3 linked regions of the Canis lupus familiaris genome follow. The protein of the gene in region 1 purifies or fractionates together with the protein of each later gene. This does not show direct contact. Links are inferred from orthologs where the notes say so. Each region holds a gene or a part of one and is shown in the gene's direction. Other genes may lie near its edges.

Region 1 (3,651 bases):
GAAAAGATTAATAAGAAATTTGAACTTAATATGTGAGGCAGAATAAAGAGGCAATAGGGAATAGTAAAAGGAAAGCATGGTATTTAGTACTAAATAAAATGTTTGCTTTATGAGTCCTTTTGCTATCTATACAGTCCTTTTGATATATAGATAATATACATATATAAGTGTGTATATGCATATACATATACATATATATGCATATATATATTTATTAAAGGAAATATATAGCTGGACTGCTGCTATGGAGATTGGCTTCATAAAAACAAAGATTTAGTCAAAAACCATCTGCTATCTCTTCTATATTCATTATTCTAATTGCTATGGATAGAAATAAAACACCTTCAAGGTGCTCACATACCTAATGGAAGAAACAGACAATTAAGATCTATTATGAGAAATTTTCTACTAGAGGTGAACCCAGGAACTCAGCACTGGGGGGTTGAAATAGTAATTTCAATTAAAGGAAAGCATCAAACTCCAGGGAAATTGTGTATGAAACTATGACAGATCTGCTGTGTCTTTTTGGTATCTTTATCTTCTCTATCAGTATGCATGTGGTATCTTAGAATACCAGGTATTCAGGTGTTCTCTAATTTCCATGTTTGAAAAAAAGGATCCTGGATCTTAGATACTAAACTTCAAAGGTAATATAAAAGAAATATTGGATGTTCCAGCACTGAAGAAATGTCACATCAATTGATGTTTTTTTTAGAATGCCTTCTATTAACATTTTCTGAGTGCTAATATGAACTCTGTGATAAGTAGCCTAAGATTTATAATGTTTGAAAAAAACCTTTATCAAATTCGAATGATGAAGTAATTTTTTTCTTGGACATAAATGTGAATGGTTCTAGATGCCTCCAACACCAAATCTGGGAATAGAAAGATATTATGAATGAATATAGAATATGGTTTTATAACCTGTTTCTATGTGTTTACTGGGTTTACCAAATAAAGTCCTATAAGAGCTGTTATAATTTAATACATAAAGGCAAATGTTTAAAATTATAAGTCAGGGAGTTGACATCACGTATATAGCCGTATTTGAGGCCATACATTCAGGGAGGTGATCCAAAAGTAAGTCTAGGACATTAAGCAGCACAGGAACAGGAACAGCACAAGTCTCAGGAACAGAGACCTGGAAGACAGGATACCTATGGCAGGTGGAGATGGCTTAGAAGACAGCCTCCTGGGAGACTAATTCCACCTTAGGAGAAGCAGCTGCTGCTGTGGCTGGAGTCAGAGCTCTTGTATACGTTGAAGGACCGCTCCTGGGTGTCCAGAGCAAGCTCTGGTAAATAGTGCCCCAGCCAGAAGCTTTAGGTAGACCTCTAGAGAAGCAGAAGAGACAACAAAACAGAATCCCAAGTGCCACTTGTTTAAGATCTGGTATGAAAACAGCAAAAGCAAGACACTGAGGGAGGCCTCAGGCTCTGAGCTGGAAGAGGACTGCTTTATCAGGAAGTAGGAAAGAATATTCTGAGCTATTAAGGGCCCACCCCCACTGGAATTCCAATTTCCCTCAGTAAATGAACTGACCATGATATTTTCAAAGAATTTGGGAAGAGTATATTAAAGTATGTTTAGGGAAAGTTTTAACTTTTTCTTTAATTGGAATAGTCAAATTCATTTTTAAATATTACAGCACTAGATCATTCTGTTGCCTTATTTGTAGGAGTATATTAAATCAGATACTTAATTGTTTATGTGTCTGTCTGCCTAACTAGCTCTTAAATTGTGTGTGTTTGTACTTACAAGTTTTTTGAGAACAAGGCCATGTCTTTATCTCTAGCGCAGTATAATATGTTTCTAAAGTATCTAAAGTCCACTCAGCATTTCTTTGTATTTTTAAATTTGATTCTTATTCTGTCTTTGATGTCACAGCAAAGCGTAGAAGGTTTTCTTCAAAATCAGTTGTACTCACAGAAGCACAAAAACAGCTTATGATTTGCCACCTACCTCAGGTTCTCAGACTACATCTCAAACGATTCAGGTCAGTAGTAGTAATATTCCAACTACACACTTCTTTTGTTTTAAAGATTTTTTTATTTTTAAAGTAATCTCTGTACTCAATGTGGGGCTTGAATTTACAATCCCAAGATCAAGAGTCTCATGCTCTACTGAGCCAGCCAGTCTCTCTTCCAACTATACACTTCTCATTTAGTCATTCCTTTTGCTTATAGTGCTTCAAAACTTAACACATGATGAAGCAGATTTTAATAGTATAAATTCGGCTAGCAGATGACTTAACATCTATCTACTTCTGGGTTTTTTTTTAAAGACAAAGAAATTCTGTCATTATCTCTAGCCTTGACTCATGGACACCTTCCGTATTCAATAAGAATACCCTGGTTAGCTTCCCTGGATTGACGATGAGTAGACCCTTCACATTTTCTGCGTAGTAATATTATTCTTGCAAACTTCTGCTTATAGAGTTTAATATTCAGCATATTTTAGGTATAAAAGTTTAAAATTTTTAACTTAAGAGTGGCCCAACTGCTTCATTCTTGGACGATATCTAAGGTATTGTATAGTTCAATTCAGAGCAGTTAACAAAAACAAAAAATCTCTAGTGTTCAGAAACAGGTGAATTAGTTTGCATAACTATTGGTTAAGCAAGGCATATGGATTTTCACACCTTGAAATAACTACGTTAACCTTAGAGCTTATTCTTAAGTTACTTTATGTGCTGTGATTTGAAACTATTGAAATCATGTTTTTCACACATTGGTTTTTGGTTTGTTTAAAGTTTCTTTTTTTTAATTATTTTTTTAAGATTTTATTTATTTATTCATGAGAGACACGGTGGGGGGTGGGGGGCGCGGGGAGAGACAGAGAGACAGAGAGACAGAGACACAGGCAGAGGGAGAAGCAGGCTCCATGCAGGGAGCCCAACATGAGACTCGATCACACCCTGGGCTGAAGGTGGCGCTAAACCACTGAGCCACCCAGGTTGCCCTAGACCATCCTATTTAAAAGTAGCACCACCTAACCCTCATTACATTACCTATTTTTGTTTATTTATTTATTATTTTTTTTAAGATTTTATTTATTTATTCATGAGACACCGAAAGAGAGGCAGAGACACAGGCAGAGGGAGGAGAAGCAGGCTCCATGCAAGGAGCCCGATGCAGGACTTGATCACATCTGCCCTGAGCCAAAGGCAGATAGATGGTCAACTGCTGAGCCAACCAGGTGTCCCTTATTTTTGTTTAAATGGTAAAACCCACTATCTGCAATTAGTAGTTTATTTACTTATTTCTCTCCCTCTGGCAGTAATGACAGGGACCTTGTCTATTTCACCTGTATCCCAAGGCCCAGAACTGAGCTCTGTGCATAGTAGTTGCCCAACAAATGTTAATTAAGTGAATGAATGGGGCATATACAGAAGGGGGAGCACTTCAGCCCAAGGGAGCAACATGAACAAAGGTATGGAGGAAGGAACAGGGAAGTGTACACAACAAAAGGTTTAGTGAAATCAGGTGAGACCTGTCATTATGCATAAAATCAAGTGGAATGGAAACAGGAAGATTAGTTAGGAGGTTAATTTTGTATTTCATGGTAAGGTAAGAAGGGCCAGGGAGCATGGATAGGTAAGAGCATAAATAAGATTCTGTAAAGATAGAACTGAAAGGATTTAAATTTTTT
Region 2 (4,306 bases), on another chromosome or scaffold:
AACTACAATGAGACATCCCCTCAGCTGCCAGAATGGCGAAAATCAACAACACAAAAAATAGCAGGTGCTGGCAAGGATGTGGAGAAAGGGGAACCGTCTCCCGGTGTTGGTGCGAATGCAACCTGTGCAGCCACTGCGTAAAACAGTATGGAGGTTCGTCAAAAAATTGAAAATAGAACTACTCTCATGATCTAGTAATTGCACTACTGTTACTCAAAGAACACAAATACAAATTCAAAGGGATACATGCACACTGATGTTTGTAGCAGCATTGTTCATGATAGCTAAGATATGCAAGCAGCCCAAGTGTCCATCAACAGATGAGTGGATAAAGGAGATGTGGGGTGTGTGTGTATGTGTGTGCGTGTGTGGGGAATACCATCCAGCCATAAAAAATGAAACCTTGCCATTTGCATTGACATGGATGGGGCTAGAGAATATTATGGCAAGTGAAATGTCAGAGAAAGACAAATACCATATGATTTCATTCATATGTAGAATTTAAGAAACAAAATAAATGAACATGGGGGGGGGGGTGAAGAGAGGCCAACCAAGAAACAGACTCTTAACTACAGAGAACACACTGATGGTGACCAGAGGGGAGGTGGGGGGGGGAATACGTTACATTGGTGATGGGAAATAAAGACTGCACTTATCATGATTAAAGAAAACAAAAGAAATTTAACAGAGTTTTATAAAAGAACAGTCTCCAGGCACCCCTCACACTTTCAAAACTCTTGTGTGACTTTGCTCAGTGTCTCCGCCCGAGTGGGTGTCAAAAAGTACATTTTGATGACCTCTCCCCTCATGCTCAGTCATATCTGTTTCACTCCCTCAAAACTCCCCCTCAAAGGGAGAGCCTCAGCGGGATTCGGTTTCTAAGTCGCAGCTGTCCACACCTCCTCGACACTCCCATTCCCTTCTCTGGCTCTGCTGTCCCTTGAGCACAGTCTCTGCTCTGACCCTCAAGGTCACGGTCTTCTCTGGCCCCTCTTTCCAAATTCAGTCTTAAGCCAGACCAGAAAGCCCCCAACCGGAAGGCCCCACCCAGCCCCCTACCCTCCCACCCAGTAGCGGATAGAAGGCAGCCTCCGAGGGTGAGGTCGTGACCCTTACCCGTCCGTAGGCGACCCCCCGGCCAGCCTCCGCGCGCCCTCAGCTTGCACCCAAAGGCCTCGGGCCGCTGGCGGTCACCCTTTTCTCCCCACCAGCATGAGCCGAGGATCGGCCGAGATGCCTCCGCCAAGGGGATTGGCTCAGCTCGGCGCCGGCTCAGCCAATCGGCGCTCACAATGTGATCCTGTCCAATGAGGCCAGGCCTCGGCTGTGAAAGCACAGCCCCCTTGCCCTGGGCCTGGCCTTTGTCCGCTTAGCCCCACCCACCACGGCTCCCCGCCAATGGGGAGCAGCGGCGGCGAGCGGGCTGCCAATGGGGAGCGGAGCCGCGCGCGCGGGGCGGTGGGAAAGGCGCCGAGTCAGTGTGTACGTCGGTTGCCGTAACAACGGTCCGCGGAGTCCATCGGCAATGGTGAGTGGGGGCCGCCCTTTGGTGCCCCGCGGCCAGGGGCTGAGCCCTTCTCAGGCTTCGTGTGGCCCTGCCGTCGCTCCCGCGCCGCTCTCGGCTTTGGAGTGCCCCTACTTCCTCTCGGCTAGTTCCCGGAAGGGTAGGGTAGAGACGTCGGCCGCCACCTGGGCCTGCGGTCCTGCGCCGCCTCCCCTTCGTTCAGTCTGCGCCCACCCATCCCTCGGGCGCGCGTGGCCTTCCCCTGCCAGCCCCCGCGTGACTGCCCCTGGTCAAAGAATACTCGGGTTACCCGCAGGCTCTGACCTCTCAGACCCTGACCTCCTGGTCGCTTCGTGCTACCAAAGTTTACCCACAGACCTGGGAGGAGGTTTATTATGTTTGATTGTTAACGTGCATTCTGAATAAATACAGGGATCTTTCGGGAGACGTTTTGATCTAATTAAAGTAGGCACAGACCTGCCTAGTGGATGGAATTTTATTATACACCTTAGCAAAGTAGTAATATTGGGCCAAATGTAGAAGTAATCACAAAGTTGGAGTACAGAGAGGAGGAATACTGCGAGCCAATGTTGTAAGGGCTTTTCTTGAATTAGGATCGCCAAATTCAAGGACAGCTGATCATCTGTACAGTTATCCACAGTCAGCTCCTTGGCTGGATCTCTTTGGGGATGATTTTCAATAAGAGATGTGCAAAGGAACACGGGATCTCCTTGCTTCTACAAAGAATAGGAAAAAAGAAGGAGGGATAGCGGTGCACGGAAAGATTGTTGTTTCAAGTAAAGCCCTGTTATCTCTCCTATTAAGCAAAGCTGTGGAATTGCTTGGTGTAAATATTTTATGTAAATATTTGTAACTATTTTATGTAAAATATGGATTGCATCACTTAATATCGTACTTCTGTGTTTGTAAAACACCTAAAGGCCTCTAACTTTAAGAAGGCAAGCATGGCATCATCTGCCCAACGAAAAAGGATGAGTCCTAAGCCGGAGCTGACTGAAGAGCAGAAACAGGAAATCCGGGAAGCTTTTGATCTCTTTGATGCTGATGGAACTGGGACCATAGACGTAAAGGAACTTAAGGCAAGCCCTTTACATTCCCACTGTACTGCCTTCCTTTCCTCTACTTCTTTCTCTTCTTTCCTTGTCACTGCTCTACCCCTTTTGCCCTCTTTTCCCTGCAAAAAGTTTTCCTGTTTTTCTCTTCTCCTGTCTTTATTTACCTCAAGTGTTATAAAATAAAATTGAGCACAAATATCAATCTGCATAACGCTATAGTGTTTCCCAGTCATTTTAACATGATTGTGTCAGATGCTGGCCTCATGCTCTCACTGTCATTTTTGTTCCTGCCAGGTTTTGATGTGCATATTGACATGATCCTGTTTTCATTGTAGGTGGCAATGAGGGCACTGGGCTTTGAACCCAAAAAAGAAGAGATCAAAAAAATGATAAGTGAAATCGATAAGGAAGGGACAGGAAAAATGAACTTTAGTGACTTCTTGACTGTGATGACTCAGAAAATGGTAAGTTACTAGGATAATCAGCCTATTTTCCACCCATATTGGTGAACAAATTTGAATCTAGATATAAAAATGTCTTCACTGAAGAAAGGTTAATACCAACTGGAGGGTTCTGCTGAAAAAGGGCAGTACTTATGACTGACAGGATGCTTAGGTTCTATCTGGCTCTCTTCAAGGCCACAGAATCACAGGAAAAGTCAGTTTACCCTTTGAGTAAGAGAACTGCTGTCACTCTTTTGTGATTATTTTTTTCCAACTGATGTGTTAACGTGCTGACCACAAGCAGTAAAACCTGTAAACACCAGCAATATTGCACTGCCTGACAATATGAAATGCCTATACTTTAAAGGTCAAAATTCTTTTCTCTCTCGTTTCTGATTCTGGGCGGCTCTAGCCTGAGGGCGGGTGACTTCTGACAGCTGTGTTTTCCACTACACTGGGAATTTGGCCTTTCAGCACTTTCATTTTTTTTCTTTTTTTCTGATTTTATTTTTTATTTTTTTATTTTTATTTTTTGGAGTTCGATTTGCCAACATATAGTATAACACCCAGTGCTCATCCCGCCAAGTGCCCCTCTCAGTGCCCATCACCCAGTCACCCCAACCCCCCGCCTACCGCCCCTTCCACTACCCCTGTTCATTTCCCAGAATTAGGTGTCTCTCATGTTTTGTCACCCTCACTGATATTTTCACTCATTTTCTCTCCTTTCCCTTTATTCCCTTTTGTTAACTTTTATATTCCCCAAGTGAATGAGACCATATAATGTTTGTCCTTTTCCAATTGACTTACTTCACTCAGCATAATACCCTCCAGTTCCATCCATGTTGAAGCAAATAGTGGGTATTTGTCGTTTCTAACGGCTGAGGAATATTCCATTGTATACATAGACCACATCTTGTCTATCCATCCATCTTTCGATGGATACCGAGGCTCCTTCCACAGTTTGGCTATTGTGGGCATTGCTGCTGTAAACATCGGGGTGCAGGTGTCCCAGCGTTTCACTGCATCCTTTCAGCACTTTCAAGGTTGAAGTCACCCATTCCCTAGTGCCTCACTTGTCCCCATTTTATTTTTTAAAATTTTATTTATTTATTCATGAGACACACACACACACACACACACACACACACACACACACAGAGGCAGAGACACAGAGGGAGAAGCAGGCTCCATGCAGGATCAGGCCCTGGGCTGAAGGCGGCACTAAACCACTGAGCCACCGGGGCTGCCCACGTGTCCCCATTTTAAAGGATCCAGAGGATCAA
Region 3 (3,651 bases), on another chromosome or scaffold:
TCACTGATTGTAGATTATGAATATATGTCCAAGGGTATTTTTGAGAAGGTTCTTGGAAGCCTGCTAATTGGATATTGGATAATGGTACTCTTTAAGAAAAGCTGGATTCCTAGACAGGATAGAAAGTGCTGTGGTCATCATTTGGGCACAGATTTTTACCGTATTTCATAGAATCAAGAGATGCAAAATTTTGACGTTTTAACATCTGAAACTGGAATGCATCTTAGAATTACTGTGATAAGAAAGCTTTGTTACAAAAAAAAAAAAAAAAAAAAAAAGAAAGCTTTGTTACAGTTTAACTGGCAACATTATTTTCTTACTGATACAGAAAGTAATGGAATGCCTTGAAATTAATGTCATCATAGGTTGGATGAAATACGGTATTTCCAGAGAGTCTATGCACTTAAACATGATAGAGATACAGTATCGTGGCAGTATGTATAGTGGGTAAGAGCAGAGGCTCCAGAGTCAGACTTTCTTTCTGGATTTAAATTCTAGCCCTGTCTAATGTATGGCTTTGGGCCATTTACTGACCTTTGTATTCACCAGAGTTTTCTCACCTGTAAAATGGGGGCTAAGAATTAATCCCTATCTTATGGTGTCATGAGGACAAAAATAAAAGACATGGAATGTGTTTAAAATAGTGCTTCGCACATAGAAAGTGCTTAATAATATTACCTATTATTATTATTACTAGTTTAGAGATTATACTTTTGTAGAATGGATAGGAATTTCTTTTGTTGTGATTGAAACTCAGATCTATTATGACCCTTCATCTTTGTTTAACATCTGGTAATAGCAAATGATGCTTGGGTTTTTTAAGAAGGGAAGATAAAAATAAGAAAGGTGAACCTAATAGTTTCCATATTATTATTAGTTGAGATTTAAGAGGCATATTTGGTATATATAATATTATTCCAAGTGGTGGAGATGTAAAAGAAACTAAGCATCAAGCCAAGAAATTTATAGTGAAAGCAAGGAGCAGTTAACCTGAGGCTAGCAAATATCGTTTTTGATTCTGATCGATATTGGTAAGTATGGGAAGGGTCGTTGGAGGCTTTTAAAAATTTGCAAAATCTGAAGCGTTTTTTTTTTTTTTTCCCACCCTAAGTAAAAGAAAGTGAGAAGGAGAGAGAATCCTTCATGGTTTTTAGAAACCTTTCTGTCTTAGGTAAAGGGATTTCCTTTTCAAAATTATTTAAGTGGGCTGAGTTCCTTTTTAATATGTCTACCACTTGAGGTTGTCCTTTTATTCTTATGAGTCAATTTTATTTTTTTCTGTTCTAGTGTTCAGTGACCAGTGACTTGGATTTTCCAACACAAGTCATCCCATTAAAGACTCTGAATGCGGTTGCTTCAGTACCCATAATGTATTCTTGGTCTCCCCTTCAGCAGAATTTTATGGTATGTACATCTGTGATCTGCTTACTTTATTATCACTTATTTTAAATAAAACACACTTTTCTTGTGAATCAAGAACAAGTAAAAAAAAAAGTTACTGAAATGATAACACTCAGTGATTTTTTTTTTTAACTGATACATATATTTGAATAAGCCTTTGTGGTGTTGCTCTTTTTCTAGTCTTTCCAAGTTAAAATATTCTCCAAAGAAAAAGTGTTGAGCAGGAATTCTACCTGGGATTTATTTTATTTTATTTTATTTTATTTTATTTTATTTTATTTTATTTTATTATTTTATTTATTTATTTTTATTTATTTATGTATGATAGTCACAGAGAGAGAGAGAGAGAGAGAGAGGCAGAGACACAGGCAGAGGGAGAAGCAGGCTCCATGCACCGGGAGCCCGATGTGGGATTCGATCCCGTGTCTCCAGGATCGCTCCCTGGGCCAAAGGCAGGCGCTAAACCGCTGCGCCACCCAGGAATCCCCTCTACCTGGGATTAAAAATATGTTTATTTTTAAAAATTTTTTTAAAAGATTTTATTTATTTATTCATGAGAGACAGAGAGAGAGAGAGAAAATGAGAGAGAGGCAGAGACACAGGCAGAGGGAGAAGCAGGCTTCATGAAGGGAGCCTGATGTGGGACTCGATCCCTGGTCTTCAGGATCACGCCCTGGGCTGAAGGCGGCGCTAAACCGCTGAGCCACTGGGTCTACCCTAAATAGTTGTTTCTAATGTCTTTAGTAACTGAAAGATTTTACAGTGAGTGATTAAAGATAAACTTCAGATACTCTTCTGTAATTGCCTCATGTGTTTAAGGCTTCATGCAAAAAACATTTAGTTTAAGAATTGCAAGAATTTATGGGAGATTTTATACTTTCATAGACTACAATTCTGAAAGGATCTAGTGTTTAAAATTGTCATTATTATTTAGAATTATCCATGGGTTTTGCTGGTCACTGACCAAGGCACATTAGGCAGACTATATTATGGTTAGGATATGTTTTGGTGGGGAGCAGAGCTTACATGGATACAGTTGGGAAGACAAAATAGCCAATTATAACTTAATTTTGGCCTTTATCCAAAAAAATTAACACTTCTAGTTTAAATGGGATTAGTGAAAGTGAGATGTGGCACAAACTGGACTCTTTAGTTGTATGTAAGTTTGACTCTAGATAGATCAGTGCATTAAAATCTAAATCTTAATTTTATATCCCTTATGTACTTTCTTCCCCAACTTCCCTTTCCCCTGTTTTTCTAAGATTCTGTTGTCTTTCTGAACTTTGCAGTTGTCCTAAATTTGTCATCTGGGGATTAGTTGAGATTTTCCTGTTCTCCTCGTTTTTCCTGCCTGCTGCTGCATGACAGTCCCCGGTGTGTCTCATGGCCTTTTCCTGGTGTATTCTTCATTTTGATTGTGCTCTGTGCCTGAGGCACCTGCCGGAGGCACCTCCACAGCCGCACCTGTCATGGCCTCCTGTCCTCTTATCCAGTCCACTCTGTTAATCAGATTATTCTCCTAAAATTCTGTTTTTTTTTTTTTTTAAAGATTTTATTTATTTATTCATGATAGACACAGAGAGAGAGAGGCAGAGACACAGGCAGAGGGAGAAGCAGGCTCCATGCACCGGGAGCCTGACGTGGGATTCGATCCTGAGTCTCCAGGATCGTGCCCTGGGCCAAAGGCAGGCGCCAAACCGCTGCGCCACCCAGGGATCCCTAAAATTCTGTTTTTAACCAATACCCTGTTTACAGGCTTCTTAAGATACACCTATCCTTACTTTAGTCTCTTTAAATATGGACTTCAGAACCCTCTAGTCTTTTATCTGTCATTACTGTCTTTTTTATTCTTTATTGAAGATTCTCTCCCTACCATGCATGTCTGCTTCCAGTCCCTTGTGGGTTTTTTTTTTTTTTTTTTAGATTTATATTTATTAGAGAGAGAGAGAGCCCCCTCCAATGGGAGGGAGGGGTAGAGGAAGGAGGAGAGAGAGGGAGGGAGGGGTAGAGGAAGGAGGAGAGAGAGGGAGAGGGAGAGCAGCAGAAGCAGGCTCCTCGTGGTGGGGCTTGATCCCAGCATCCTGGGATCAGAGCTGAAGGCAGATGCTTAACCCACTGAGCCAGGTATCCCCAGTCCCTTGTGTTCTTAAGTTCTCCCTTCTCCAGAACTTTTTGTGGATGGGCTCTTCCCGGCTAAGTTAGCATCTTCTTTTTTCTCTGTTGTCTTCTAAACCTTCGTAAACTCATCTG

Evidence for each region.
Region 2: the proteins of USP44 (region 1) and CETN2 purify together in Homo sapiens (affinity purification with mass spectrometry; 4 studies listed by BioGRID and IntAct, counting the BioPlex papers as one, with this or other methods). This does not show direct contact. The link is inferred for Canis lupus familiaris from reciprocal best matches to the Homo sapiens genes USP44 and CETN2.
Region 3: the proteins of USP44 (region 1) and EZH2 purify together in Homo sapiens (affinity purification with western blotting; 3 studies listed by BioGRID, with this or other methods). This does not show direct contact. The link is inferred for Canis lupus familiaris from reciprocal best matches to the Homo sapiens genes USP44 and EZH2.

The regions. Positions count from the first base shown.
Region 1 is NC_049236.1:35,700,956-35,704,606, reverse strand, and holds part of USP44 (ubiquitin carboxyl-terminal hydrolase 44), read left to right. Parts: intron 1-1,887; coding exon 1,888-1,996; intron 1,997-3,651.
Region 2 is NC_049260.1:122,023,698-122,028,003, reverse strand, and holds the start of CETN2 (centrin-2), read left to right. Parts: upstream 1-1,389; 5' UTR 1,390-1,429; coding exon 1,430-1,528; intron 1,529-2,445; coding exon 2,446-2,604; intron 2,605-2,915; coding exon 2,916-3,044; intron 3,045-4,306. UniProt on the Homo sapiens protein: Plays a fundamental role in microtubule organizing center structure and function. Required for centriole duplication and correct spindle formation. Has a role in regulating cytokinesis and genome stability via cooperation with CALM1 and CCP110.
Region 3 is NC_049237.1:1,619,095-1,622,745, forward strand, and holds part of EZH2 (histone-lysine N-methyltransferase EZH2), read left to right. Parts: intron 1-1,287; coding exon 1,288-1,404; intron 1,405-3,651. UniProt on the Homo sapiens protein: Polycomb group (PcG) protein. Catalytic subunit of the PRC2/EED-EZH2 complex, which methylates 'Lys-9' (H3K9me) and 'Lys-27' (H3K27me) of histone H3, leading to transcriptional repression of the affected target gene.